4 linked regions of the Notamacropus eugenii genome follow. The protein of the gene in region 4 interacts with the protein of the main gene of each other region in a pairwise test. Links are inferred from orthologs where the notes say so. Each region holds a gene or a part of one and is shown on either strand. Other genes may lie near its edges.

Region 1 (7,573 bases), on a different chromosome or scaffold from region 4:
ACACTATATAGGGTCACAAAGAATCTGAAACAACCACACCCTCCTTCTGGGTAGTCTCTTCTTCCTTGGCTTCTATGACAGTGCTCTACCCAATTCTGCTCTCATTTGTATTACTGCTTCTCAGTCACGTTTGTTAGAGCTCCTTTTCCTTTTGCCTGCTAAACATACATGTCCACTAGGAACCTAGTCTCTTCTTTGTTAATCTCATTAACTACTCTGAGTTCAATTATCTCTAAGCATTTTTGTCCCAATCCATACATTCAGCCTTCATCTCTGCCTTGTACTGAAGTTCTGTATTATCAACTTCCTGCTGGATATCACCACCTGGATATTCTAGACATCTAAAATTTAGCATGTCCAAAACACAACTTTCATCTTACTTGCAAAGATAAAATCATCTCCTTGGTTTTTAAAGCCCTGCATAACCTGGTCCCTATCTACTTTTCCAGTCTACTTACACCTTCCTCTGCCCTCCACACATTTGTAAGCCAGTGACACTGGTCTCTTTGCTATTTCTAACATAAGACATTCCATCACCCCAACTACAATCATTCTCACTAGCTGTCTGCCATGCCTGGAATTTTCTCCCTCTTCATCTCCCCTTCCTGGTTTACTTCAAATACAAGAAAAAAACCCACTTTCTGCAAAAAGCCTTTTTTAGGCCTCCTTAATCTTAATGTCTGCCCTCTAAGATTCTCCCCAGTTTATCCTGTTTATAAATTGTGTATATGGTTATTGACATGTTGTCTCCCCTGACGGACTGTGAGCTCTCTGAGAGCAGAGACTGTTTCCTACCTTTCTGGCACATTGCAGATGTTTTAATAAATGCTCATTTGACTTGACTAGTACTATCTATCCTTCCAATCACTCAAGTGCATAACTTTGTAGTCATTCTTGGCCCCTCTAACCTCCCCCAACTCATTTATCTAATCAGTTGCCAAGTCGTGCTGAAATCCTATCTCCATCCATCTCATAGATGTTCTCTTCTCTCTACTCACATTGCCTCTACCCTAGTTCTAACCCAAATGAACTCTCCCCTGAAAGGCTAGAATTTCCTCCTGCTAACTCCAGCCTCTTTCTTCTATAATTCATATCCCACAAAACTGCCAAATTGATATTATTAAGAAAAGGTCTATCCATATTAGCTCCATCCTCAAAAATCTTTAATTATTCCTCACTGCCTTCGGGATAAAATAAGAAATGCTTGGCCAGGTATGTAAAGCCATTTACATCGTGGTCCCCATCTTCCTTCCAAGTTTCATGTCATACCACTCTGTCACATGCTCTGTTCCAGCCAAACTGACCTGCTAGTTATCCCCATATATTCCCTTTCCCATTCAGTGGCTTTTTGAACATGCTTCACTCCAACAGAGAAGTAATGAACACCCTCCTCTCCTTTACCTGGCAGAAGCTGTACTTCCCTTCAAAGCACAGCTTTAGATGCTGCTTCACACATAAGTCTTTTCCTGATCCTCTCATCTATTAGCACTATCTCTTGAAATTACTTTGTAGACTTTGTATTTTACAGATCTGGTTACATGCTATATCCTCCCAGCAGAACTTAAAATTCCTTAAGTGCAGAGACTGATTCATTTTTATCTCTGTATCCTTAGTTCCTTAAGACATAGCCATGAAGTGAATGTTGAAAACTAAAAATATATATATATATATTTTAAAAATACATAGCCATAATAGTGCCTCGCATGTAATTACAAATAAAATGATGATAGCTAACATTTATGTAGCACTTAGTACATGCCAGACACTGTGGTAAACTATTTACACTTATCATCTCATTTGATCTTCACAATAAACCTGGAAGATAGGTACTATTATTATTTCCATTTTACAGATGAGGAAACTGAGGCAAAATGCAGTTTGGTGTTTTGATTTTGGGGTGCAAAAGAACTTGCCAAAGTTATTATAACTCAGAAGTGTATGAGGCCACATATGAACTCAAGTTTTCCTGAGTCCAGGGACAGCCCTCTATCCACTGTATCACCTAAGTACCCGCACATAAGAGATATTTCATAATTGTGCATTGACTTGAAGGCTGCCCAATCTATTCCCTTGCTGGGCAGCTGTAAATGTTAGGAAAAAGAGAGAAAGAGAAAAAGAGAGAAGGGAAGGAAGGAAGGAAGGAGGGAAGGAAGGAAGGAAGGAAGGAAGGAAGGAAGGAAGGAAGGGAGGAAGGGAGAGAGGGAGGGAGGAAGGAAGGAAGGGAGGGAGGGAGGGAGGGAGGGAGGAAGGAAAAGGGAAGGAAGGAAAGAAAGGAAGGAAGAGAATAAAGGAAAGAAGAAGGAATGAAGGAGGAGAGGAAGGAAGGAAGGAAGGGAGGGAGGGAGGGAGGAAGGAAAAGGGAAGGAAGCAAAGAAAGGAAGGAAGAGAATAAAGGAAAGAAGAAGGAATGAAGGAGGAGAGGAAGGAAGGAAGGAAGGAAGGAAGGAAGGAAGGAAGGAAGGAAGGAAGGAAGGAAGGAAGGGAGGGAGGGAGGAAGGAGGAGAGGAAGGAAGGAGGGAGGGCGGGCGCTGCAAGCACAAGGCTCCTCTCTCGGCACACGCAGATGACCTCCAAGAACCCCTTACAAATGGGAGGCGGGGTAAGAGAACATGCAGCCAGTCAAGGTCCCTCGTGCTTGTGGGAGCGCAGGCAAGCCCCCGGGTCAATGGGGGGGCGAGAATGGGGGGCTCTGCGGCCACACAAGGTAGGATCCCTCCACATCTCATGAACGCGACCCTATGATGTGAGGAGGTAAGAGATGCTTCGGCCCCACCCCCCACTTTTAGGGATGAAGGGAGAGGAAGGGAACCTGCCCATTGTCATCGACCAGGCGAGAAGCAGCGGAGCTGGGAGGCCAGCCAGGCCGCACCCCGCGATGCCAAGCGGGGCTCCCTCGAGTTCACTCGGACCAAGCCCCCACACTCACGTGCCACCCGCCGAGGGGCCCGCAGCGACGCCCTCAGGAGGTCCTCGGCGCTCCCGCGGCTCCCCAGCAAGCACACCGGAACTGCCCCGCCCCTCCTCCCCGCCCCGCCCCGGGATCCCAATGGAGACCGGCCGCTCCCAATGCCTCCAGGCCGCAGTCGAGGGGGAAATGTGGATCGTCTCCCCCCTCCTTCCGGGACGGCGGGGCCTACTCAATGTCGTTTTTCTCTCCTATGGCTAAACTCCAATTTGTCGGACTTTTTCTTCTGCTGGATCTCCCAAGTCTGTCAAGCCGAAAGACAAGAGAAAGGGTTATTTGGGATATAAGTTCCCCCCTACAGTGAGCGAAATGGTTCACCCCGGATGCCCCGATTGGTTCCTGGGTTCCCTTCGAACTCCGCGCTGCCTTGGTTGCTAGGTGACTTTTGGAGAGTCGGCTTTATGAATGAAGCTGGGTGCCCTCGCTCTGTGCCTCGCCTACCCCAGGTCGGTGTGTCCCCCGCCCTTGGGCTCGGAGCCCTCCGCGCTTGGCGTCCCCTTCCTTCTCCTCAGACCCACGGAAGGAGCCATTGTTAGCATCACCACCCTCGTGTATGTTGTTCAGTCGCGTCTGACGCCTCGTGACCCCGTTGGGGGGTTTGGCATTTCCTTCTCCGGCTCATTTTACAGAAGAGGAAACTGAGGCAGCCAGGGTTAGGGGACTTGCCCTGGGGTCACACAACTAGGTAATGTGTGAGGGAAGATGATCCTTCAGCCTCCGGCCCCACGTGTAGGGTTACCATTTACACAGCGCGTGTTCTGTTGTGCCAGGCGCTATGCCAAGCGCTCTACAGTGAGTGCCCTGGTCAGCTCTGGTACGCAAGGATCTGAGACAGCTCCAAAAGACTCGTGATGGAAAATGCTGTCACGTTTAGAGAAAGAACCAGGGAGTCTGAATGCAGATCCAAGCATGCTATTTTCTGGTTTTTTTCTTTCCTCATGGTTTTTCCCTTTTGTTCTGATTCTTCTTTCCCAACATGACTCGTGTGGAAATGTTTAATAGGATTGTTCATGTATAGCCTCTGTCACATTTTTTTCAGTCATGTAGTGGGTGTGGAGGGTAGGGAGGAAGGGAGAAAAAAAAATTGGAATTTAAAAGTAAATGTTGAAAACTACCTTTACATGTAATTGGAAAAAATAAAATATTATTGAGGAAAATAAAAAATTTTTAAACATTTTTATTTTATTTGATCCAACCCTGGGAGGTAGGTACTATTATTATGCCTATTTTCCAGCTGAGGAAACGCAGCTTATGTCTGAAGTTGGATTTGAACTCAGCTTGTACTATGTGTCTGTGATGGGATTTGAGTTAAGGACTTTCTGACTCCAGGCTCAGAATTCTATACACCAAACTGCTTAGCTGTCTAAATATCACCACCACTACTACTACCGTCACCATTTCAGTTCAATAAACATGCCCCTGCTATGTGACAGGCACAGTGCTAAGTGCTGGGGATGCAAAAAGACAGTGCCTGTCCTCAAGGAGCTTAGAGTCATTATTAATGGGGGAGACAAGATAGAAATATATGGAAAAAAACCTGTATCCAAGATAATTAAGAAATAATTAACAGAGAGAAAACACTGGAATTAAGAAGGGCTGGAGAAGGCTTCCAGTAGAAGGTGAGATTGGGACATGGGACATGAAGGAAGCTAGAGAGGTGAGTAGTTGGAGTGGAGGAAGGAGAATGGTCCAAGCATGAAGGACACAGCCAGAGCAAATGCCCAGAGCTGAGAGGTGGAATATCTGGTTCATGGAACATCTCAGAGGTAGTGTCGCTGGATCAAAAAATATGTGTCAAATAGTAAGGTCTAAGTACTGGAAAAGTAGGTATGGGGCTAAGTTATGAAAGGCTTTGAATGCTAAACAGAGCATTTTGTATTTGCTTCTATCTCATGTGGCCCTTGATTCTCAAAAAACATGCCTGTAGATCAAAAAAGGAGGGGAAAGTCCTGTATGTCCAAAAATATATATAGCAGCCCTTTTTATGGTGTCAAAGAACTAGAAGCTTAGGGGGTCACCATTAATTGGGCAATAGATAAACAAATTGTGGTATATGAATATGATGGAATACTCTTGTGCTGTAAGAAATAATGAAAGGGACTATTTCAGAGAAACCTGGGAAGAATTATGGAGATATCTAGGTGATATAGTGGATAGAATGCTAGGAGTATCTACAGTTAGGAAGTCTTCAAATTTGACTTCAAATTTGACATCAGGTGCTTACTAGCTATGTGACCCTGGGCAAGTCATTTAACTTCTCTTGCCTCAGTTTCCTCAACTGTAAAAGAAGGTTATTAATCACACATACCTCTCAGGGTTGTTGTGAGAATAAATCAGATAATATTTGTAAGGAGTTAGCACTGTGCCTGGCACAAAGCACCATATAAGTGTTAGCTGCTACTGTCATTATTATGTGAACTGATACAAAAATGAAGTGAGCACAACCAGGAGAAAATGTATGCAGCAACAATATTGTAAAAAAAAAAAAAATTTTTTTGAAAGGCATTATGATTGATTAAATAATTAGATGTGATTCCAGGGAGCCAATGATAAAACTTGCTACCCTTGCTCCTTGCTACCTCCCTCAAGATGTAGAATGAGAAACACATCTTTGGAAATGGCCAATGGAGGGATTTGCTTTGCTTCACTATATATATCTTACACAGGTTTTGTTTTTCTTTCTTTTTTTCCCCCAGGTAAGAGGGGGCCATCAGAGGGAGAAAAAAAAATGCTAGTTAACTAAAAATAAATAAATAAAACAATTCAAAAAAGAAAGCACAGAAGAGCCCTGGTTTTATCAATCTGCATAGGGTCAAACAACAGAAAAAGCACAGGACCAGGAGTGGGGGTTCAAATCCTATCTTTGTTACTGACTAGCTGTGTCACTTATATGGGACAAATGTGAGAAAGTCAAGTCATTACCTTTCTTTGAGACTCAATTCCTCCTCTGTAAAATGGGGGTAATAGTAATACTTAATGAGACAATGTAAGTCAATGGCTTGGCAAAACCTTAAAAGTCCTAAATAAATAGCTTTTGTTATTATGATGTTCCAGGAATAGACTATTTTTTCTGTCCAAGAACCAGCCTAGTAAAATGTGAAAAGGTTGATTGATCCCCAGCAGGTTGGCCAAGGCTTGGTTAATGAACTCTTAAACTCTATGAACTTAATAAACTCTTAAACTTCAGTTTCCTCCACAACCCTGGCAACTTCTACCTCCCAATTACCTTTTCAGCCTCATTTCACCCTTTAGTTCACTCTCCAATTCAAATAAACTGAGCCATGAGAGCTGGATTCCCAAACTTATCACGTCTTCTCCCTCTGTGAATTCTCAGTGATCATCCGCACCCCAGCCTACCCCAACTCCTACCCTCCTCCTACCTCCAAATGCTTAGAACGTTCTTCCTCCTAATCTCGTATTTTAGAATCTTTATCTTTATTCAAGGCTCCACCCAGGTAGCCTTCTTTATGTAGCATTTTAGGCTGAGCTAAAAAATTTTGCCCTCCTCAAAACCTTCCTAGAGCAGCTGTCTTAATCTCACCTTTGTTCCCATCACTGCCCACCTCGTATTATGTGTATATGTGTGCATGTTATATCTCTCCAGTAATATCAATTTTGATTTTATATTCCTAGTAACAAATGCTCCTTCCATTGGATTTGTATTATGCCTCTTCTCTAGAATATCTCAGATGTTTTTAATCTCATATACTTATCAAGTTCTGTTTTGTACTATAGTCATGTATATGTCTTTTTCCCCAATAGACTGTAAGCCCTGGAAAGTCCGGAAACTAGGCCTCAAACATCTATCTCTCACTGAAGTAGTCAGTACAGGGCACTGAATATGGTAAGTGCTCTGGGTTTGTAGAGTACTTCCTCTACCCCATCTCCATCCCCTACCCCAAAGATCTTCTTCCCAGAACCACAGAAAGATTCTGGTAATAAGTGAGAGAATACACCATGGCTCCACTGACATAGAATCCTTTACCAGCAAGTCTGACAGTGCTTTGATAAACCATTTACCATCACTATGCCTCAGTTTCCCTGTCAGCAGAATAGGATAACATCCTCTTTCCTACCAGGAGTGGCATACACCCTTAATTAATGCTTGTGACAATTAAGTGCCAGGAGATGAAAGGTTGTAGAAAAGAATGTAGTGTTACTTCTATCCCTAGTCTTATGACTTCAAAGCATTCCTCCTAACAACATGCCCAGGAACTGGACAAAAAGGGCCAGTCTTACCTTGCAGATTCAGAAAGGCTCAAGGGCAAGTGACACCCCCTGGGCTGCAGAATGTGGAAGGGACAGAAAGAACCCTGGGGTTCTTGAACACTGAGTATTTTCAGAGTTCTAAAACACTGTGCATTCTTACTTTATAGAATACAACTCCAGAGTAGGTTGGTGACACCATTCATTAATCAATCACTGGGTATCTCAAAAGATTGGATTAGACCCAATTTCTACCCTCAAAGTGCTCAAGTTCTCAAACAGACTAGTGGAATAAGGAGCATACTATAATTAACCAGATACAAATAAGAAAGAGAGGAGAGAGAAGGGTAATTATGCTGTTTATCTAGCAGAAATGGAAAAATAATCAACATTCTACACTAT
Region 2 (7,014 bases), on a different chromosome or scaffold from region 4:
TCTCATGGTTTCTCCCATTCGTTTTAATTCTTCTATGCAACATGACTAATGTGAAAATGTGTTTAATAGGAATGTATGTGTAGAGCCCATATCAAATTGCATGCTGTCTTGGGAAGGGGGGAGGGAGGGGGAGAAAATGTGGAATTTATGGAAGTTGAAAACTGAAAACAAATTAGTAACTGTGGGGGGGAAAAGAAAGGAAAAGCTTGTTCCCTCCTCTCTTCCTGAGGGTCCTGGCACCAGCCCTCCAATGCCTCCCCTACAGCCCAGGCACAATCCACACCAGGCAGCTGAGCAAGGTGGGACCAGCCTTGGTGCCCTCCGGCGTCACCTCCCTTCCCAGCCTGGGAACAGTTATGTGTCCTAAGTCTAGGGAGGGCACCAACAAATCCGGCTCAGTCATTTCTAAACAGAGCATACTAGGGAAGGAAAAAAGAGAAGGGAGTGGACAAGCAGGGAGAAGGAAGGAGGGGGAGGGAGGGAAGAGACGGAAAGGGAAGGAGGGAGGGGAGAGGAGAAGGGAAGGAGAAAGAAAGGGAGAGGGAGGGAAGGGGCTGGAGAGGAAGGAGAGGGGGAGGAGAGAAAGGGGAGGGGAGAGGGAAAAGGAAGGAAGGAGAGAGGAGGAGAGGAGAGGGAAAGGGAAGGAGGAGGGAAGGTGAGGGAGAGAAAGGAGGGGGAGAAGAGAGGGGAAGTGAGGGAGAGAAAAGTGAGGGAGAAAGAGGGAAGGTAGAAGGAAGGAGGGGGAGAAGGGAGTGAGAAGGAAGGAGGAGGGAACAAGAGGGGAGGGGAGGGGAGAGAAAAGGCAGATGGGATGAGAGGAAGAAGGAAGGAAAGGGGAGATGGGAGGTGAGGGGTGGGAAGGAGATGGGAGGGAGAAGGAAGCAGGGGAACAGGAGGGGAGGGAGGAGGAGAGTGAGAAGGAAGGGGGGAGGTAGGGGAGGGCAAGAAGGGGCTGAGACAGGTTGTACCTAGCGGTCCAGCAGCGGAGAACAAAGAGGCAGGGAAACAGCCCTGGGGCTGCCCATTCACCCCAGAGAAGGGCTAAGTGAAGACCTGTGATTGGGCCTAGAAAGGGGCAGGGCGGGGCGTATGCCTCCAAGACTAAAGTGTAGGAGACGAAGACGAAAACCAGTTAGCCTCCGGGGCTGAGGGACCCCAAAAAACATCAAAGCAAATGCCCTGGGGGGTCAGTTCAGTCACCCCGCACAGTGGGCAGCTAGCCAAACTCAACTCCACTCAATAAACATTTACTAAGTGCCTAGGAAGAGAGAGGCTTTCAGAGACACAAAGAGGCAGAAAACAGTCCTTCCCATCAAGAAGTTCACAACCTGCTGGAGAAAGATCATGCAAACAACCAGGTACAAAGCAAGCCACAGACAGGATAAACGGGAAATAAGAGAAGGGAAGGAAGGCACTGGAATTAAGGGGGGTTGGGATTTTAGTTGGGACTTAAAGGAAACCAGGGAGGTCAGGAGTCCTCGGAAAGAAGGAGAGTGAAGGCATGGAGGACAGCCAGGGAGAATGTCGAGAGCCCAGAGATGGAGGATCTTGTTCATGAAACGGCCAGGTGGCCTGGGCCACTGGATCCAAGAGGACGTGTCAGGGAGTGAGGTGTGAGAAGGTTAGAAAGAGAAGGGAGAGACAGATGACGAAGGACTGAGTGCCAGGGAAGCATATGGTATTTTTTCCCGGAGGTAGAGGAAAGAAACCACTGGGGTTTGTGGAACAGAGGGGTGACATAGTCAGGCTCATGTTTTAGGAAAATTAGTGTCTGAATTGGGAAAGGCTTGAAACAGGAAGACACCGTCCCCCGCCGCCCCCGCCCCCCGCAAGCAGCAGCAGCTAAAGCAATAGTCCAGGCAGCGGGGATGGCGGAGGGATGGACAGGGTTAGAGCAAAGAAAAAGCGGCATTTTTGAAATCCTGGAGAGAGTAAGGGAGGTGAAATTGACCACAGAAGTAGCAGTAGTTAAATCGACCAGACCCAGCAAGGAGGTGAAATCGACCAGAGACGTCTGGGAGGTGAAATCGACCAGAGAGACGTCTGGGAGGTGAAATCGACCAGGGACGTCTGGGTAGTGAAATCCACCGGGGACTTCTGGGAGGTGAAATCGACCAGGGACGTCTGGGTGGTGAAATCGACCAGAGAGACGTCTGGGAGGTGAAATCGACCAGAGAGACGTCTGGGAGGTGAAATCGACCAGAGAGACGTCTGGGAGGTGAAATCGACCAGGGACGTCTGGGAGGTGAAATCGACTAGACTGCAAGGAGGTGAAATCCACCGGGGACGTCTGGGAGGTGAAAGCGCCCACAGAAGGAGGCAAAGGAGGTGAAACGCACAGGTCTTGGCACCATATTGTATACTTGGGTGCCCAGAGTGACTCCTGGTTGGGAGCCCGGAGGTGCCAAAGGCAGAAATGAAGCCGTCCTCGGGGGCCCCGAGCCCCCTCCAAGCTGGATGGAATGCGCCCCAGCCCCGCACCCCGCGCCCGAGCTGCGCCCGGCTCCTCACCTGCCGGTGGTTGTAGATCTCGCCGTTGTAGCACAGCCACAGGGAGGGGAACTTCTGCAGGCGCAGGGGCTGCATGCCGGACACCGGGTCCACCACGGCCAGCCGGTGGAAGCCGAAGCAGCAGTTGGTGAAGCCGCGCACGTTCTCGAAGCGGAAGGCGTCGGGGCCCCGGTGGGCGATCCTCATGGCGCTCAGGCACTGCGCTGGCAGGCCCTCGTCGCTGCCGAACAGCGCCCAGATGCCGCACATGGCGGGGCCTCAGTTTACCCCGCGGACGGGGCTCCTCCAGACCGCGCCAGGGATGTGAGCCGCAGCCGGGACGGCGAGGAGCGGACGGAGGGGAGGGGCGGGGCGGGGCGGGGCCGCCCCTCCTTCGCTCTCAGGCCCCCACCCCCTTCTCCACCCTGTTCTCCCCTCCCCACTGCTGCCCAGATGCGTCTGATGCAACGCCGGGGCCCACGTGGAGGAGACTGCGAGAGAGCGGGCTTCCGGCAAGGGGAGATGACGTCAGCGCCCTCCCAGGAGGCGCTCCGGCGTGGCCGGAAGTGAGGGTAGGCCGTCGAGAGGCCACTTCCGCCATGAGCCTAGGGTCCGAGGCAAAGTGTCTCTGGTAGGTCTCCAGTGGAATGCCACAGGGCTCAGTACTGAGCTCCGGGCAGTGTGCCACGTTGGCCTCGGCTTGGCCGAGGAGGGCTGACCCAGCTCGTAACCCTTGGGTGGAATAATCACCTTAATAATAGAAGGGGCGGGGCTATCCCTTCGAGAAGAGCTCTGGGGGTCCTAGTGGACCACAAGCACAGAGGTGTTCACGGACCTGGGCGGAGCGAGGAGGACCCAGAGCCCTAGAGTCACTTTGGGTTGCAGTAGATGTTTAAGGAGAGGCCCCCAGTGGACCCCACCTGACCTGGAGGACCGAGGATCATCCTGGGAGGGTCTGATGCCTGAAGAGAAGAAGGCTGGGGGCGGGGAAGAAAACGGGGAAGAGGCCACCAGCAGCCCCAGATCTGGGCTTGTTACCGGGAGATCGCTGAGAGCTGTCCAGCTGCTGAAACGGGAGCTGCCCAGCGGTGGCAGAGGTGGAAGCAGCTGCATACACCTCCGAGTCCTGCTCCTCCGCCTCGCCCTCCCTGGGGGTCTTGAGGCAGAGGCTGGACACCCCCACCCCCTCCCCCTCCCCCCCTCCCCCTCCCCCTCCTCCCTGAGGGTCTAGAGGCAGAGGCTGGACACACCCACCCCCCCCTCCCCCTCCTCCCTGGGGGTCTTGAGGAAGACCCTCCCCCACCTTCAGTGAGGGAGAACCTTCTTTGCATGTAGATTGGTTCTGGCAGCTGCCTGACCCCTCCAGTCCCAGATTCTGGAACTCCACCTCTGTAGCTTCTGGACCCTCCCCCAGGGACAGCTGCCTGTTGCTGGGCATATCCTGGAGGGCAAGGACTGCTGCTTCTTCTGTCCCGGTACCCATCTTCCATCCTAGCGATGCCCCTGACTCATAGTAGGTGTTTAATAGATGGTTTTGCACCGGATGGAAGTCACTCAGCTCCCTGGAGGAGGAGGCCACAGCGATTGCTGAGTGTTTCCAGTTCCTGATGCATAGTTACAGCTGACCACACCCCTCTCTTGACAGCACCATGATCTATCTCCATGCTAGAGCTGAGCAAACAGGCCCCTTTTAAATGACACCCGCCAAACGTCCAGGCTGAGATTCGAAGCCAGGCCCCTCGGCCTCTAAGCCCAGGAGCACTCTATTTCTGCCTCGAGGAGAAGGTCCTCAGCCTTCCACCGTCAGGTGGATCAGGGTGCCTTCATTCAAGTACTGACAAGGTTTGTGTTGAGGAGAGAGCCCCGTGGCCCTCTGCTAGAGACTTCCTTCCAAGCGGGGTACATCACTAGGCCCAGCCAAAGGAGACTCATGGAAGTGTTTCCACCCTCTCTTAGCGTGCAGACCCCAAGCTCCCTGTTCATTCGGGCCCATCCCTTTACGTGTTTCTCTTCCACCTTTACAATCCCCTGGGCCTGGTCTCCTGTCTCCAAATGCTTTGGAACCTGTTTTCACTTCTCACTTGAATGTCAGCCCAGGCCTGGGCTTCCTGGCCTCTGTCACAAAGTCTAAGCTGGAGCAGTCCCTTCTCCCTGGGCTGCCCGTCCACCCCCATTACAAAGTCTAAACCAGGGGTCTCTTCTCCCCAGAGTCCCCTCATTTTGACCCTAGAAAGCAGTTTCCCCTGTTTGTTGGAAAATGGCTTTGGCAGCCTGGTAAAGGCTGGCTCGAGAAAAGAATAAGCTAGTGTGGCTTCTGACAGCTCAGGTTGGGCCAGACTAACCGGTTATGGGCTGAGGAAATGTTCCCTCCCCCAGGAGCTGGCCTCAGACAAATCATCTTCGAATGACTGTGATTGTGACTGTGGAAGAGGTGGGGGCTCAAGGGGCAGCAAAGGGGAGGGGCCCTCAGAGCCCACAGAACAGGCATTAATGCCCCAAGGCCACTTTGGGAGGAGGGTACCAAGGCAGTGCCCCAGTGCTGCCATTCTGGATGTCCTCATCACGTGGAGCAGCCCCAAGCAAACAGGAACAATTGCCCCTTCCTCCTGGATAGGACTTTCCTTTGGGCAGCATCTCTCTGGGTCTCTAGGCAGCTGGGTGGGGTAGTAGGTAGGGCACTGGACCTGGAGTCAGGAAGACGAGTTCAAATCTGCCCTCAGACATTTATTAGCCATGTAGCCCTAGGTAGGTCACTGTCTTCTTCGGTTTCCTCAAATGTAAAATGGGATGACAATAACATCACATACCTTCCAGGGCTATTGAGAGGATCCAATGAAATACTATTTGGAAAGTGCTTAGCACAGTACCATGCATAGTGAGGATTTAGCAGATGCTTCTTCCTTCTGGCCAACACTTTCCCTGTGCTTCTTCCTTAGAAGCAGGCAGGATCCTTAGGGGAGCTGGGTCCTGACACCCAAGCCTCTTTTCTCATGACACCATTGACAAGCCAGTTGTGCCCAGGTCCAGATTCACATGACTTGATCTTTCCTCTGCTTTGGGAGTGAATCACAGAATTTGCATATAGCCAGGCTCTGGACTTAATTTCTTAGCATACATGTACACAAGCAGGTCAAGTCAATGGAGCTCTGATGCCTTCATCTCCCCTCAGGGTTTTAGGACTATTGCTGAGGAGTTAGGGTGATTCTGTTGTTATGGACTTGAGACCCTTTTAGGTATGTTCTCCTCAATATCAGTTGCCAAAGATTGGTGCCCAATTTCATTTAAAAAATTATTTTATTTTCACAATAACTTGTAAAAACAATACCATTTTCAAAAAAAAATTTGGAGTCCTAAATTCTCTTCCTCTCTCCCCTCTCCCCTCATTGAGAAGGCAAGCAATCTGATATAGTATGGACACGTGCAATCAGGCAAAAATATTTCTGTAATAGTCATGTCGTGAAAGAAAACACAGATCAACAAACGAACAAGAAAAGAGTCTGCTTCAATCTGCTTTCAGACTCCATCAGTTCTCTCTCTGGAGGTGGAGAGCATTTTGCATCCTCTGTCCCTTCAGAATTGTCTTAGACCTTGCATAGCTGAGAGGAGCTAAGTCTCTCCTAGCTGATCATTGTTACAATGTTGCTGTTACTGTGTACAGTGTTCCCCTCGTTCTGCTCACTTCACTCTGCATCAGTTCGTGGAAATCCAGGTTTTTCGAAGAGCGTCCTGCTCATCATTTCTCATAGCACAGTGGTATTCCATCACAAGCATACGTCACAAGCCCAATTTCATTTAAACAAGTAACATCAACCAGTTTTCTCAGAGGGATTCTTGCTAGAAGAGATAACAGAAGGACAAACACTTCTCCCCAGACCTGGGCATACACTGTTCCCTGAGCCATTTTAAGCTCTGGCAAGAGTGGGCAGTTTCTCCAAAGTGTTTACCTTGCCAAGTTCACTTCTGAGTGCAAATAGCACATAGACAAGTCCCCATCTCAGCTCCTCCTGTGCTGGGTGGAGCAGGGCTCTCCTCAGGCCTGGGCTGCTACCTCACCCACACTGAACCTTGGAGAGATCCTAGCCTGGGCTGGATTCCCATACCTCTGGCACCTGCTACTCTAGCCTTTGAAAGCTCATCCACTTGGAGCCATTTCTGCAAAACTCCTTCTCTAAAAGCAAAAGCAAATTGCTACAAGAGAAAAGCGATGGCAGGCCCCTGGGCCCTTATCTCCCCAACTTTCGAAGCAGAGCGGGGGCAGTGGAGAGGCAACCCTGAGTTGTAACTTTGAAGAGCTGACTGAACCTTCCAGGAGCACCAAGATAAGAATCCCTGGCATTTCCATAGAACAAAGCTGAGTGAGGTCACTGGAACCTCACAACCAGCCCTTGAGGAGGCTCTGGCAGTATGATCACTCCCATTTTACAGAGGAGGAGACTGAGGTTCCAAGAGGTAACAGAGAGGTAGTTGAGACCTGAAAGGGACCTTAGAAATGATCTCGTCCCCCTCCCTTAAGCTAGTGCCCCT
Region 3 (7,062 bases), on a different chromosome or scaffold from region 4:
ATTCAGCTGAAAGAGCTTGGGACCAGTGTGACCCCAGCTCGGCCCCTCATCCTGCAGCCTGGGCCAAGTAACTTCCCTCTCTCAGTCTCAGTAAGATGGGATATTGAATTAGAAGATCTCAAAGGTCCCCTTTGGCTTTCAAGCTATAATCCCACTCTCCTATGAACATCATAGACCTGGAAGTCTCTAACGAGGAAGAGATAGACCCAGTGGCTTGGAAAAAGCCCCCTCCTCCCATTTCTCCATCTTCCCTCTGTCTGGTCACAGTATGGATGTCCACAGGGGCTGAAGATGGGACCTGAGAGCTGGCAGACCCCAGAGACCACCAAGTCCCACCAGTCTCCTCATTTTAGAGAAGAGGAAACGAAAGCTATACATTCAGTTACAGAACAGAGCCAAGACTAAGAACCCAGGGGAAGGGTAGGCCCTGAGCCCTGTCCTGGAGCCCCGGCCTGCTGCCCCCAGGCCCACTTACAGTGTAGGCCTTGCTCTTGCTGCTCAGAATCTTGGAGATGCCAAAGTCACCAATCTTAACAATCATCCGATGTTTGTCCAGGAGAATGTTCTGGGTCTTGAGGTCTCGGTGGAGGATAAGGTGGGTGTGCACATGGTGCAGGGCCAGCAGGATCTGAACAAAGAAGTGTAGGATGGTCTCCTCGTCCAGGAGGGAGTTACAACGCTTCTGGATGTACTCGGCCAACGTGCCCCCTGTGGGCAGAGAAGGGCATGAGGCCATCCCCTGGTGCGCCTGCATCCTAGAGCCCCTGAATGGCACACAGCCTCACCTTCTCCCTGGGCCAGGGAGAAGTCACAGAATGTCCCTGCTAGGAGGAGGGACCTTAGGGACCTTAGTGACTGACCCTTCCCCTGACAAAGGAGGAAACCGAGGCCTCAAAGGGAAAGGATTTTCCCAACACCACCAAAGCAAGGACAGAAGCAGAGCTCGGCCTCCCATCTGGGGCTCTTTCCAAGCCCGGGCAGGGCACCCCCAAAAGAGCCCAACGTGGGCAGGGCCCCAACCTGGGGCATACTCCATGGCGATCATGAGAGCCTTATCCTCCAAGAAGTTCTCGTAGTACTCGATCACGTTGGGGTGGTTCAGCAGCTTGAGCACCTGGCACTCATTCTGGGCAGCCAGCCGCTCGTCCTTGGTCATCTGCTCCACCGGGATCTGCTTGATGATCACCAGTTTCTGGTCGGCCTTCCGAAGGCACAGGTGCACAATCCTGAAAAGCCCAGGGGTACAGGGCTTGGCATACAGTAGATGCTTAATGAAGGCTGACTGACTGATTAAAAGGAAGACTTAGAGGCAGGGTGCCAGGAGAGCAGGAGACGAAGGAGCATCTACAGCAGGGGTGGGGGGAACCAGCTGCTTCGAGGCCCCATGTGGCCCTCTAGGTCCTCAAATGTGGCCTTTTGACTGAGTCCAAGTTTTGCAGAACAAATCCTTTAATGAAGAAGACTTGTTCTATGAAGTCTGGTTCCAAAGGGCTGCACTTAAGGACCTAGAAAGCCACACGAGGCCTCGAGGTCGCACCCACTCGTACTCTTGTCCTCATCTAGAACCACTCATCCCATTTTACAGATAAGGAAACTGAGGCTTCCCCCCCCAAAAAAAGTTAGGGTGACATCAAAACTGAGAGCAGGGTCATCTAGACCACCCAATCCATTTAAGGGCCCCAGAGACTTAGTGACGACTAGTGATCACATAGCAAGTTAGTGCCAGAGGTGGGGGTGGAACCCAAGCCCTTGAGTCCACTCCAGGTGCCATAGCCCAGGTGCCAAAGGGGAAGGGTAGCTGGAGCTGGGAATGGGGCTGTGAGAAAGGCGTGGCCAGAATGAGGGCGTGGACCAAAGAGGTCTATTTGTCGGGGGCGGGGCTCCAGGGCCCGCCCGGTTGTGGGTGGGAACCAGGGGGCGGAAGTGGGGGCGGGACTTCCGAGAGTTGGAGAGGAGCCCATGGGGGCCAGGCTGGCGCTGCCAGGCCCGGTGGATCCGAGCTGGGTGTGTTTGTTCTTTCCTCCTCGATTGTGTCCTACCGCCCTCGCTCTCTCCCCCTCACCCGCCCACGGCCCGTGCCCTGCCTCACCCGAAGGCGCCTCTCCCCACCACCCGGATCCGCTCGTACTTCTCCATGGCATGGCAGCGCTTCCGGGAGCCGCTACGGCTGCCGCGGGGGGGAAAAAAGACTCTTAACCACGCATGCGCCGACTCCTCCGCCGGTCCGCGTGCGCCCCGCTCCCGGCTGGGGAAGGGCGCTGCTCCTGGCCGGGGGCCGCCCCCATCCCGAATCGCCTTCACTCCCTCCCTTCTCCTCTACACCCGCCCCTCCCCCCCAGGCACTTGGAGGTGATATTGGCTGAACTGATCCTCCCCTTTTAGGTCGAGAAACTGAGACCCAGAGAGCTGGAGTGAGCTGACAAGTGTTGGAGCAGAGGCTCTCCGCGCAGCCTGGCAGGCTCCCTGCCACGCATGCCTGGCATCGCCTGCGGAGGCTCCCCGTGCAGTCCGGGATCACACCTGGCCCCCTTGCCCCCTTTCCAGCCCTGGAGTGGAGCTGCGCATTCGCCGGCCCTGCTCTCCCCGTCTGGGGGTCCTCCCCTCCCCCGGGTCTTGGGGTCCTCCCGCATCTCCCCCTCCTTTCCAGTGTCAGCCAGAGTCCCACCTTCTGCCTTTGAAAAGCCTTTCCCAGTCAGTCCTCCTTGGACGCTGTTCTCCCCTTGTTGATGCCGGTGTTTGCGCATCCTCTCCTCCCTTAGAATATAAGCTGCTTGAGGTCAACGACTCTTCCTTTGTTTTATCCTCAGTCCTTAGCACAGAACCTGGCACATAGGAAGCCATTAAGAAATGCTTGCCAAGTGTCTGTTCTTTCATTTCCCCCACCCAGGATCCCTCCCTTCCAACGCTCTCCCAGCTCAGAAACCCCCACTCCCTTCTCCACCTTCTCCCCATCCTGGTGTAGTGAAACCTCCAGCCCTTAGCGGCCGTGTTACCACGCATTACCTCTTTTTCTCATAAATGTGAATTCTAAGGACCAGTACCTTTTAGTTCAATGGGAGATTAATAAGCAGCAAACTTTAAAACACACACAAATATACTGTTTGTTAAGTTGTTTTCAATCTTGCCTGACTTCATGACGTCATTTGGAGTTTTCTTGGCAAAGATACTGGAGTGGTTTGCAATTTTCTTCTCTAGGTCATTTTACAGATGAGAAAACTGAGGCAAACAGGGTGAAATGACTTGCCCAAGGTCACTTAGTGTCTGAGGCCGGATTTAAACTCAGGAAGCTGAGTCTTCCTGACTCCAGGCCTGGTGCTCTATCCACTGCCCCACCTAGCTTCCCTTTATATATACATGCATGTCAATTATTATTCTATCCCAGGCACAGTTGTAGAAACTGGACTGTGGTTTCCTGATTACTCCCTCTAGAGTCTTAAAGGAAGCCAGAGAGGTGGAGATGAGGAGGGAGAACATTCCAGCCATGAAGTACAGCCAGAAAAAATGCCCATAGGGTCATTGTAGAGAAGAGTAGGTGGAGGAGGGGAGGAGGTGTAAAGAAGACTGAACTGGAGAGGGGATAACGTTGAATTCCAAACGCAGCATTCTGTATTTGATCCTGGAGGCAACTGGTAGATGGGAAAGTTTCTTGGGGTGGGGGGGACATAGTCTGACCAGTGCTTTAGAAAAATCACTTTAGTGAATGAGGAATGGTTGGAGTGGGGAGAGACTTGAGACCTGCAGACCCACCAACAGATGTACAATGATCAGGGTCTGCACTACAGTGGCAGCAGTGACAGAAGAGAAATCGAGGAGTGTTTGGGAGATGGTACAAAGGTGGAATCAACAGACCTTGGCACCATCTTGGATATGGAGGGGAGAGAATGAAGAGTCCAGGATGACTGCTAAGTTGAGAGCCCAAGGGACTAAGAGGATGGTGTTGCCCTCTGGTTGGTTGTTGTCCTTTGTTCTTGAAGAGGACCAAAATGACAGCACCATGATAAAGTAAAGTTTCAATGTGTTGGACTGTGACTGATCAGACTAACATGAGCTCACAATGCTCTCCCACAGGTTGGACATAGATAGTCCATATGAATATTTGGGGTAGATACTCCAAATTTGCGTATCCTACGTTTACTTTGTGCTGTCTCAATTCTGCTTTGCTCCTAGGGCACAGTACCCTTTCTGATGTGGGCACCCCATCCTGAGTGGTCCTGGGCCTCCCATGTTGCACAGTCAAATCCAAAGTTCTTGAGAATGTCCTTGTATCGCTTCTTCTGACCAAAATGAGATCACCTGCCCCAGGTGAGTTCTCCATAAAATAGTCTTTTTGGCAAGCATACATCTTGCATTTGAACAACATGGTCAGCCCATTGGAGTTGTGCTCTCTGAAGCATAGTTTGAATACTTGGCAGAATCAGCTGGAGCAAGTACTTCAGTGTCTGGTACCTTATCCTGCCAGGTGATCCTCAGAATCTTCCTAAGACAGTTCAAATGGAAGAGATTCAGTTTCCTGGCATGGCGCTGGTAGATTGTCCGTGTTTCACAGGCATACAACAATGAGGTCAGCACAATAACTCTGTAGACCTTCAGTTTGGTAGTCAGTCTAATACTTCTTCTCTCCCAAACTTTTCTTCAGAGCCTCCCAAACACTGAGCTAGCTCTGGCAATGTGTGTGTCAACCTCATAGTCAATATGTACATCCCTGGAAAGTACACTACCAAGGTAAGGGAACTCATCCACAGCATTCAAAACTTCTCCATTTGTTGTAGCATTTTTCCACGTATGGATGGTATGTGGTGGTAGCTGATGGAGCACCTGTTTTTGGCCTAATTTTGTTGCCTTTTACAGTAATGGGGAAGGTAGAGAGGGAAGGATTTGGGGAAAAGATAAACACTGAGTTTAAAATGTCTACTGGACATCCAGTCTGAGATGTCTGAATGGCAGTTGGAGTTCAGCAGAGAAGTTGGGACACAGATTAGCACTGAGATGCTAACTGAATATATGGGAGCTGAGGAGATAACCAAGTGAAGTCTTATAAAGGCAGAAGAGAAGACAGAGCACTGTGGGATACTAAATTTAGAGAGTTTGACCTGGATGAGGATCCGGTGAAGGAGACTGAGAGTCAAGAGAGAAGGGTGTTTGGAAGACCTAGAGACAGAAGGTAGCAAGGAGGACAGGGTGATCATTGGTGTCAAAGGTCGCAGAGATGTCAAGGAGAATGAGGACTAGGAGAAGGCCACGGGATTTGGTAGTTGAGAGATCACTGGTGTCTTTGGTAAAATGGCAACTCTGGAAAGAGCAGTTTCAGTGGAATGAAAAGGTCCAAAGCTGGATGGTAAAGGGTTATGAAGAGAGTGAGAGGAAAGAAAGCAGAGATACCTATTGTAGATGGCCGTTTATTGCTAAGGAGTTAGAAGGATCAGGTGAGTGTTTTCGAAGAATGGAGGAGACATGGCCATGATTGTAGGCAGTAGGGAAAGAACTAGGAGATGGGGAGAGAATGAAAATAAGTGTTTGAGTGGGGATGACCAAGGCATAATCTGTAGGAGGAGACCAGATGGAACAGGATCCTGATTACACAGGTGAGATGGGTTAGTGAGACAACCTAGGAGTCATCCTGGGCTCCTCCCTCTTGCTTACCCCTCACATCCAAACTGTTGCCAAGACCTGCAGATTTCACTTTTGTAACATCTCTCGAATTTGCCCCCTTCTTTCCTCTGTCACTGCCCCTACTCAGGTACTGGCCCTCCTCCCCAAACACCTGGACTGCTGTAATATCCTGCTGGTGGGTCTGCCTGCCTCGAGTCTCTTCCCATTTCAATCCATCTTCCATAAAGCCTCCAAAGTGATTTTCCTAAAGCTCAGGTTGGATTATGTCACCCCACTCCCTACTCAAGAAACTCCAAGGCTCCCTGTCACTTCCAGGAGCAAAGCAGAATACTCTGACATTCAAAGCTCCCCACTTCCTTTCTAGTTTTCTCATTCTTCAATCCCCAGCAGCATTCCTCCATACTGATGTCCTGGCTGTTCCTCCATCTCTCAGCTCCAGGAATTTTCACTGGCTGTCCCCTAGGCCTGGAATGCTCTCCCTTCTCCGTTCCAACTACTGAACTCTCTGGCTTCCTCTAGTTCCCCACTAAAATCCTTCTTTTATTGGAAGCCCTCTGTTACTAATTTATTATTTTGTAGCTTGTTTTGTCTACATGTGTTTGCATGTTGTCTGCCCCATTAAATTGTAATCTCCTTGAGGCCAGGAACTGTCTTTTGCGTTTTTTTTTTAAATCTCCAGCCTTTAGTATTGTGTCTGACACATAGAAGATGCTTAATAAATGTTTATTGATTGATTGAGACAGAGGTGAAAGAAAAGATAACGGCAGAAGGCATCTGAGTGATATGAGGAAGAGAGAAGAGGGGCCTCATGGTGCACGCCCAACATTGTGTCTATAATGTGTGGGTCAAGGTTCTCAACTGGGCAGGGAGAGGGAGGGGAAGCCATGGGAGGTTTGAGGGAGGATGAAAAAGATGGGAAAAGTCATGTAGTCGGAGGGAAAGTGAGTTGATAAAGGAGGTGTAGAAAGATTCCCTAGAAGCAGTGAGGACTCATTTAAGGTCGTGTAGTGGACCCAGCTAGAACAGTTGAATGATTTCCTCTAATTAAATTTGCCTCAGGAATATAAGGCAGTGTCTGGGCACCAGTATTTCAGACATGTCATACTCACCTCTCTAACTTGGCCATAGGGGTAGGATTCAGGGATCTGCACAATGCCATTCTCTGAATCTCTGTCCTCTTTCTACCACTTGATAATCAAATCCATATTATGTGTCAAAGATTGTGCCAACTTACAGCGCTGTGGCCCCACTTGGAAACCGTGGGATCTGAGTTTTAGGCCGCCTTGCCCAAAACTTCCTTCCCTGGCCCAGTCTCCAGCTCTCTCATACCTCTCCTGTTCCTCTCTTGTCTCCATGTCCTTCTAGGGTGCCCTCTGGAACCCAGTTCTATTATATTTTATTGCTACTATTGATGTATTTTGTTTCAAATTACTTTGATTTCCAAATATACCC
Region 4 (7,158 bases):
TATTTTGTTGTTGTTCAGTTGTTTTTTCATCATTTCCAACTCTGTGATCCCATTTGGGGTTTTCTCAGCAAAAATAATATGGTTTGCCATTTCCTTCTCCAGCTCATTTTACAGATGAGGAAACTGAGGTTAAGTGACTTGTCCGGGGTCACATAGCTACTGAGTGTCTTAGACCACATTTGAACTCAGGTCCTCCTGACTCCAAGCCCAGTCCTCTATCTACTATGCCACCCAGTTAGCCTCAAAGCTATACAAAAGAATAGGATGTTGATATTAAAACAATGGAACTTTTTTTCAGGAAGAATCTTGGAGTTATTAAAGTAGCTTTGTAATCTCCTGAAGACAATCCAACCAGGTCTCCTTCCGTTTAATTCTGGTCCATTTGTACTGTCTGTCCCAGACAGACATACTGACAGACTAGTGCTATAGGTTGTCCATTCAACTAATTTCATAATCTGGGCAATAGAAATTTTTCATCTACTTGGTCTTTCTTTAGATAGACTAAACTCTTGAGATAGTTAGTGACATGTGACACAAAAGTACATATCCCATTCCCCTCCCCCCCCAAAAAAAGATTTGTTGTGGGATTTTTTCTCATTATAGCTTAAAAGTGTTGAGAAATTTTACATCTCTAGGAAGGAACTAAGTTAACCATCTAATCAATTCTGGCCTAAGGTGAGTTAGAAGCCAATGTCAACTATTTCCCATCTATGAATACCAGTCTTTCTGTGGAAAGGAATGTAAGCTTAAAGATAGGGACTGTTTTTCACTTTATAACCCCTATTTCTTTCACATAATAAACACAAAATAATGCTTGTTGAATTGAATTAATGTCTCCAGGGAAGAAGCACCATCTCTGCATGTATAGTGTGACCAAGACTACTATTCTTACCTCTGTTTCTCCTTCTATGATATTCTCCTTGCCTGACATTCACTCCTATACCACTTTTACCTTTCTTATGTTTCTCCTTTACCTTAACATTCTTTTCCACCTCCTTTTTGCCAATTCAAATCTCATACTTTAAGGCCTAACTTGAGGATCACTTCTTTCAAGAAATCTCAAATTAACCCCACCTTGAAGTGACTGTATTTTGAATCCCTACAGTATTTATCTTCAGTTTCTACCACAGTATGGGGACTTGTGTGATTTGGAATTATTTTCAAATTAATTATTTTCAAAAGATTGCATATTCCTTAGCCACAACGATTGTCATTTCCTCTGAATTATACAATAGTACTTATGTGGGGCCACATTCTGGGAAATATTTAATAAATAACTGCTATATTTAGTTAAAGCTGGTTTTTCTGCTTTCCTCACTTTGACACTGAATTGAAAGATCCCTATGAGTGTCATGTGAGTACTTATTACCTCTGCCTACACAGATTGCACCCCTTCACTGTTGAATTTCTTGCCTGATAAATTCATCCCCTGGTGGCCAACCTCATAGTGATGATCTCTTAACTCTTAAGATAGGTTGGTTCTTGGAGGTTTGACACACTACTTCCTCAAAGCCTTTCCAGCTTGCCAAGACCCAGGTTTACATCCCACTAATGTAACCTTTGAAAAGTCAGGGTCACCTTTATAGTAGGGTGAAATATCAAAGCTGAATTTTCATGTACTTCTTCAAATCTTCCTAAATGTCCAGTTCAGTAAGTAGTTCAAAATGTTATAAATTAAATCTTCCCAAATTCCTTATAACTTCATATACCAAGATGTCTACCCACAATATTTGGAAAGATAACTGAATTAGGAAAATGTAATCACCCATCCCAAAGGGGCCCTCACCTCCATGAAGGTTTTTTCATTGAGTTGCCCTCTACTTGAAGAAGCATGGGCATTTATATCTTTGACTCAGATAGGGCAGCAAAACAACAGGCTGGAGACTTGGTGGTTCACTAGAGAATGACAATTGGAAAGACTCAGTAGCTATAGGGCCAAAGAAGAATAAGGATGGGAGGGGGTGGGGATCTTGCAAGTTCCGTGACAGTTAGTCAGTTGATGTGACCATAGCTTGCTCCCAGAGAAGGAGGTACTGGTTGAAGTTTGTTTTTCTCCACACTGCTCATTTTTACCTAAGGTGGGACATGATATTATTGTTAACAGATCCCATGCCCCTGAATCTCTCCTGTTCTATGGAAGAAGAAATTAGTTGAGAGAACTGGCTGATCCCCATTTTCCTCAAAATCATAATATGAAAGGCATTAGAGAGACCAGCTAAATAGTTAACAAAGTTGCTGTATTTCAACATAGCACCCCATTTTTCTCCTTCACAGGTTCTTTAGTCCAGAGAAGACACCAGAGGGAGAAACAGTGTATCTCAGGGCTCAAGGAAATTAGGATAGAGAAGTCCCAATTCACCTAACATTGTGACTTTATTCAGCCAGTTAGAGAATGGAAGGCTGTGGTTATGAGGGATTTGATGTTGGATTATACTGCCTACCAAGGAAACTCAATTTTAGTTTACCTAAGTAAACAAACCAAGTGTGTCTGCTAAATATTTATCAAAACTTAAACTCCTGTTAGTTTTGTTCAGTGTTAGTGTCTTCACGTTACTCTTTTTGGCACTGGAGAAAAGGGAAGTCTATACTTGTGATTTCATTAGTGTAGGGTATTCCCTGCATTGAAACCCTCTCCACCGATGTAGATCAGCAGTTATTTTAAAACTTTTAAAAGTCTTCTAGCATTGCCTCAAGTCTGAGAGGGGAAGTGAGTTATTCAGTCCCACACCTGTGTCAGGCAGGTCTTAACCAAGTCTTCCGATTCCCAGGCCAATGCTCTTAATCTACTATACTACACTGCTGGTCTTGAATCTCGATTTTACAAATGAAGGTAGATTTTGTTTTTCATCCAAGAATATTTCCTGATGTAATAATCTTTAAACAGTGTGGTTTGGGGTTGGTTTGTTGTTTGAGGAAGTGTATTTCTTACATATGTTTCTGTTGGCTTCTTACTTGATGCTTTTGTTGGCATCTAACCATTCTTTGTAAGCTTTGAAAGTGTGAATAAAGGCCACATAAAAATCTTTTTTTCTTGAAATATGTGACTTCATTGTTTAACATGATTACACATGTATAAGCTATGTCAGATTGCTTACCATCTCAGGGAAGAGGGAGAGAGAAAAAATTGGAACTCAATCTTGTAAAAAATGAAGGTTGAAAAACTATCTTTACATGTAAAAATTGAAAAAAAATAAAATATTATTTAAAAAAGAAATCTGTGATATCATCAGTACAGGGAACTCCCAGTTGAGGAAACTGCTCCGAGGCAATTCGAATCAGCAATTGTTTTAAAACATAATCTTAGAGTGCCTGAGGCAGTTACAGGTTAAAGTTACAGTTACAGTTAAAGTGATTTGTTCAGGTTCAAGTATAGCCCCAGAGCACCGTCACTACAGCTCTAATTGACCATACCTACAACTTCTATCCCCACAGGGGCTTGTGGTGAGAATCAAATGAGATAAAGTCTTTTATAAAGCACTATTTAAACCTGAAGCCACTATACAATGTCAAGATACTGATCGAATGATTTGATACTAAAAAAAAAAAAAAATCTCTTGGGCTAAAGCCAAAAGCTTCTAACCATTTCCTAAAGACATCTTCCTGTTCCTGTGTGTTCTCTCACCGCTTGGATTTGGCTTTTCTATTTTGGGCAGGGAAAAGAATTGTCATCAAATTTACATTCTAGGAAATACCCAACTTCTGACCAGTGCATAAATGCACTGAGAGACTCACTGATGTGAAAGAGAACAGGAAACTGAGGTCTGCATCTGCTGCTCAGGAGAAAGCATTTTAAGTCCATTCTCCTGTGAGGAGCAGTTAAGGACATCAGTGGCTTACCTTGCCCTTGAGTCTATGGTTTGCATGTAGGATTGGACCACTAAGACCTCTCAAACTACAGTTGTTCAATCATTTTTTTTCAGTCCTAACCGACTCTCTGTGACCCCATTTGGGGTTTTCTTAGCAAAGATACTGGAGTGGTTGGTTTGCCATTTCCTTCTCCAACTGATTTTACAGATGAGGCAACTGTGGCAAACAAGATTCAATGACTTGCCCAGGGTCACATAGCTAATAAGTGTCTGAGGCCAGATTTGAATTCAGGAAGATGAGTCTTCCTAACTCCAGGTGTTCTACCCTCTGCACCCACCTAGTTGCCCCAAACTACAGTACTGTATTATAATCCCATTGTAAAGCTGCCCATCATTTTGATTTAAGTGAGAAACTTACACACCCAGTTCAGTTGTTTTATTCAATAGAACATGCCCATCAACAGCAAAATTTAGGTAAGCATATTTTGGGGCTTTCCTTTTTAAATTTAGATTTAATAATACAAAAATTACTGCCAATATGCTATTTCTTACTGACTTTTTGATAGAGGAAAGGTTCAGGACTCCCAGAAGGATGTTCACATACTGAATATTCTGGTCATTTCAGACCTCAGATCCTTACTAAATGCTTGTTAGGTTATTGATTGACTGGGATCTAGCAGTTACACTAGGAGCGAAGGCTGTGCTCTATTATTGGTTAAAAAGCGCCTAGTGATACTGATAACATTATATTCAAATTATCGTATAAAATTCCAAACATAGAAGCAGTCAAGAGTTTGAGATTCTGAGCATCAGTGAGTTTATCAGCCAGTTTTAGATGTTTATAGAATGTAACGTAGCTAATTAATCTGCACGAAGAAGTAACAATAATTCAGGACTTACAAAGGGAACTATTCCTCATCTCTCAAAGCTGTGCATTCCATAGTGTCTAAATACCTACATATTCATTAATACTTGCATGGAAGGTAAACAAAGTGAAAAGTCAAAGGAAAGAAGACTTTGCAATTACACACCTACTCAAATTAAATTTAGCTAAATTAAAACCAAATTCCAAATTTCATGAAAATACATTTTAGCATGTTTCCATTTCAGGCCAGACTTCTTGAAGCCTAAGGAAAAAGAAAAAAATCAATTATTCTATCAAATAAGCACTTATTAAACACCTACTATGTGCTGGGCCCTTTGCTAAGTACTAGGGATCCAACTGAATCACAACTGTCTACTTGTGAGGAGCTTATACTCTAATAGAACTGGATAAGCATATCTACATGCAAACATATATATTTCTATTCACTATATTTCTGCTACATATACATATATGTACATATGTACATCATAATAGCACTTCCTTTTTTTTATTTACCCATTATGATTTAATTTCTACAATACTTCATTAAAGGATGGAGTTCAATGATTTCTACTCAAAAGTCAGGACACAATCAAGTATAATCAGAGTTGGTCTGACTTCTCTGCACTCAGAATCATACGAAGTCTTTTGCTTTAGAGAAATGAACAAAAAAAATTAACCAGAAAGTGCTAGAAAACTGACAGAAAGACAACCATCCATGAAAATTATTGATATTAATGTGTCATGAAAAATGACTGATCCTGTGTAAAAGTTAAATGAGCAGGATTTTTTTTACAGACAATTTTTCTTATAAACAATAAAATATAACATTTTTCAGATTGAAAGGACCTCTACTGACAATGTGTGTGTGTGTGTGTGTGTGTATGCATATATGTATATGTAACACAAACATAAAGGGAATAAAATAAAATAAGTAATTAAATACAAGGTAGGTTGGAAGGGACAATACTAACAGGTTGGAAGGGACAATACTAACAGATGAGGGATCAAGAAAGTCTTCATGGAGAATAAGAGTTTGTAACCTTTTTTACATCATGAACCCCTTTAGCAGTTTAATAAAGTCTACTGGCCCCTTCTCAGAATAAGGTTTTTAAATGGATAAAATAAAACACATAAGATTTCAAAGGAAACTGAAATAAAGATGTATCTTTATTTCCTACCCAAGTTCGAAGACGCTTATGAAATCTATTCCCTTTTTAGAGAAGACAATGATTGAGCTGCATCTTGAAGAGGGTTATCCTCAATGAGGTAAGGAAAGAGTGCTTTCCAGGCACAAAGACCAAGAAGTGGGAGATGGAGGAAGGGACAGAAAAGAAGACCAGTTTAGCTAGTCCAAAGAGCATGCCACAGGGAATAAGGTACAGTGAGGCTGAGGTTTTAAGAGTTTTAAAACAGTCCTAAAAACTGAATAGAGATGTTTCTCTTGCATCCTAGAATCAACAGGAAGTTAGCAGTGTCGAGCAGGCAAGTTCTGCCCGGTCGTAACTCTAGAGTTGTTCAGTCTCAGCTTCTACTTCAAATTAGTTACCATCTGCAAAAGATCCAGCTCTTTGGAGCCATAGATAGCATTTAATAATAATGAGGATAATTAGCAATTAGCATCTGTAAAATCTTTTACAAATATTTTCTCATTTAGTCCTCAACCCGGAAAGGCTGGTACAGTTACTATCTCAACCTACAGATGAGGAAACTGAGGCAGATAAAGGTGAAGTGATTTGCCCAGGGTCACATAGCTAATAAGACAGGATTTGAGCCCAGGTCTTCTGACTCCAGGTCCAGCATAGTATCCACTGTGCCACTTAGCTGCCTCACATAAAGTCACTATCAGGATACTGCATTTGATGACAGGATATCGTTCGATTCTAACTAGCCTAGGATCCTAATGTGAACTGTAAGTTTAACTGGCAAATGGTATCTTCCATCTCTGTGCCTTTGTACTGGCTGAATCACATGCTTGGCATGCATTCCTTCCTTTCACTTCACAGAGGTCCTCTCTTCCTTTAAAATTCAACTCAACCACCATCTTCTTCATAATGGATTTTTAATCTGTGGTCTGTGGATAGATTTTAAGGGAGTCTGTGAACTTGTACAGAAAAAAAGATACTGAAATGAGAGGAAAAAAATACAAAAACCTCCAGATATCCAAAGTCAACAACTGACCCTTCATTAGGCGTGTTAGTTGTTTTCTGCATCTGTAAAAGAGATGAGAGAAAAAATTCATTATGCTTTAATTTGAAGAAATTAAAGATGAACATCATGGGCAGTACTGAGGGAACTCTATTACTCCAGTCTGGAGGTAGCTCAGAGAGGATGCAGTCATGGCTATCCACTTGGGGTGGGGGTGGAGGATGGGGGAAATAATTCAGAGGTAGGCTTTCTGTAAGATTCCCATAAATCAGACTCAAAAATTCATATTATACATGGGAATATCAAAGATCTGAGAGAGACACAGACCACCTCTCTGAC

The links.
Region 1: the proteins of TRIM69 (region 4) and FAM110A interact in binary tests that used the Homo sapiens proteins (3 or more experiments, as listed by UniProt). The two-hybrid records come from large-scale screens. The link is inferred for Notamacropus eugenii from reciprocal best matches to the Homo sapiens genes TRIM69 and FAM110A.
Region 2: the proteins of TRIM69 (region 4) and ASNS interact in binary tests that used the Homo sapiens proteins (3 or more experiments, as listed by UniProt). The two-hybrid records come from large-scale screens. The link is inferred for Notamacropus eugenii from reciprocal best matches to the Homo sapiens genes TRIM69 and ASNS.
Region 3: the proteins of TRIM69 (region 4) and NEK8 interact in binary tests that used the Homo sapiens proteins (3 or more experiments, as listed by UniProt). The two-hybrid records come from large-scale screens. The link is inferred for Notamacropus eugenii from reciprocal best matches to the Homo sapiens genes TRIM69 and NEK8.

The regions. Positions count from the first base shown.
Region 1 is NC_092872.1:432,452,773-432,460,345, reverse strand, and holds the start of FAM110A (protein FAM110A), read right to left. Parts: upstream 3,020-7,573; 5' UTR 2,927-3,019; intron 1-2,926.
Region 2 is NC_092874.1:1,918,306-1,925,319, forward strand, and holds the start of ASNS (asparagine synthetase [glutamine-hydrolyzing]), read right to left. Parts: upstream 3,001-7,014; 5' UTR 2,761-3,000; coding exon 2,512-2,760; intron 1-2,511.
Region 3 is NC_092873.1:36,139,202-36,146,263, reverse strand, and holds the start of NEK8 (serine/threonine-protein kinase Nek8), read right to left. Parts: upstream 3,001-7,062; coding exon 2,666-3,000; exon of another isoform or gene 2,383-2,665; intron 2,168-2,382; coding exon 2,090-2,167; intron 2,005-2,089; exon of another isoform or gene 1,892-2,004; intron 1,227-1,891; coding exon 1,021-1,226; intron 709-1,020; coding exon 476-708; intron 1-475. UniProt on the Homo sapiens protein: Required for renal tubular integrity. May regulate local cytoskeletal structure in kidney tubule epithelial cells. May regulate ciliary biogenesis through targeting of proteins to the cilia.
Region 4 is NC_092878.1:53,186,604-53,193,761, forward strand, and holds the start of TRIM69 (E3 ubiquitin-protein ligase TRIM69), read right to left. Parts: upstream 3,025-7,158; 5' UTR 1,793-3,024; coding exon 1,787-1,792; intron 1-1,786. Other genes in the region: B2M (beta-2-microglobulin), read right to left, coding at 6,868-6,884.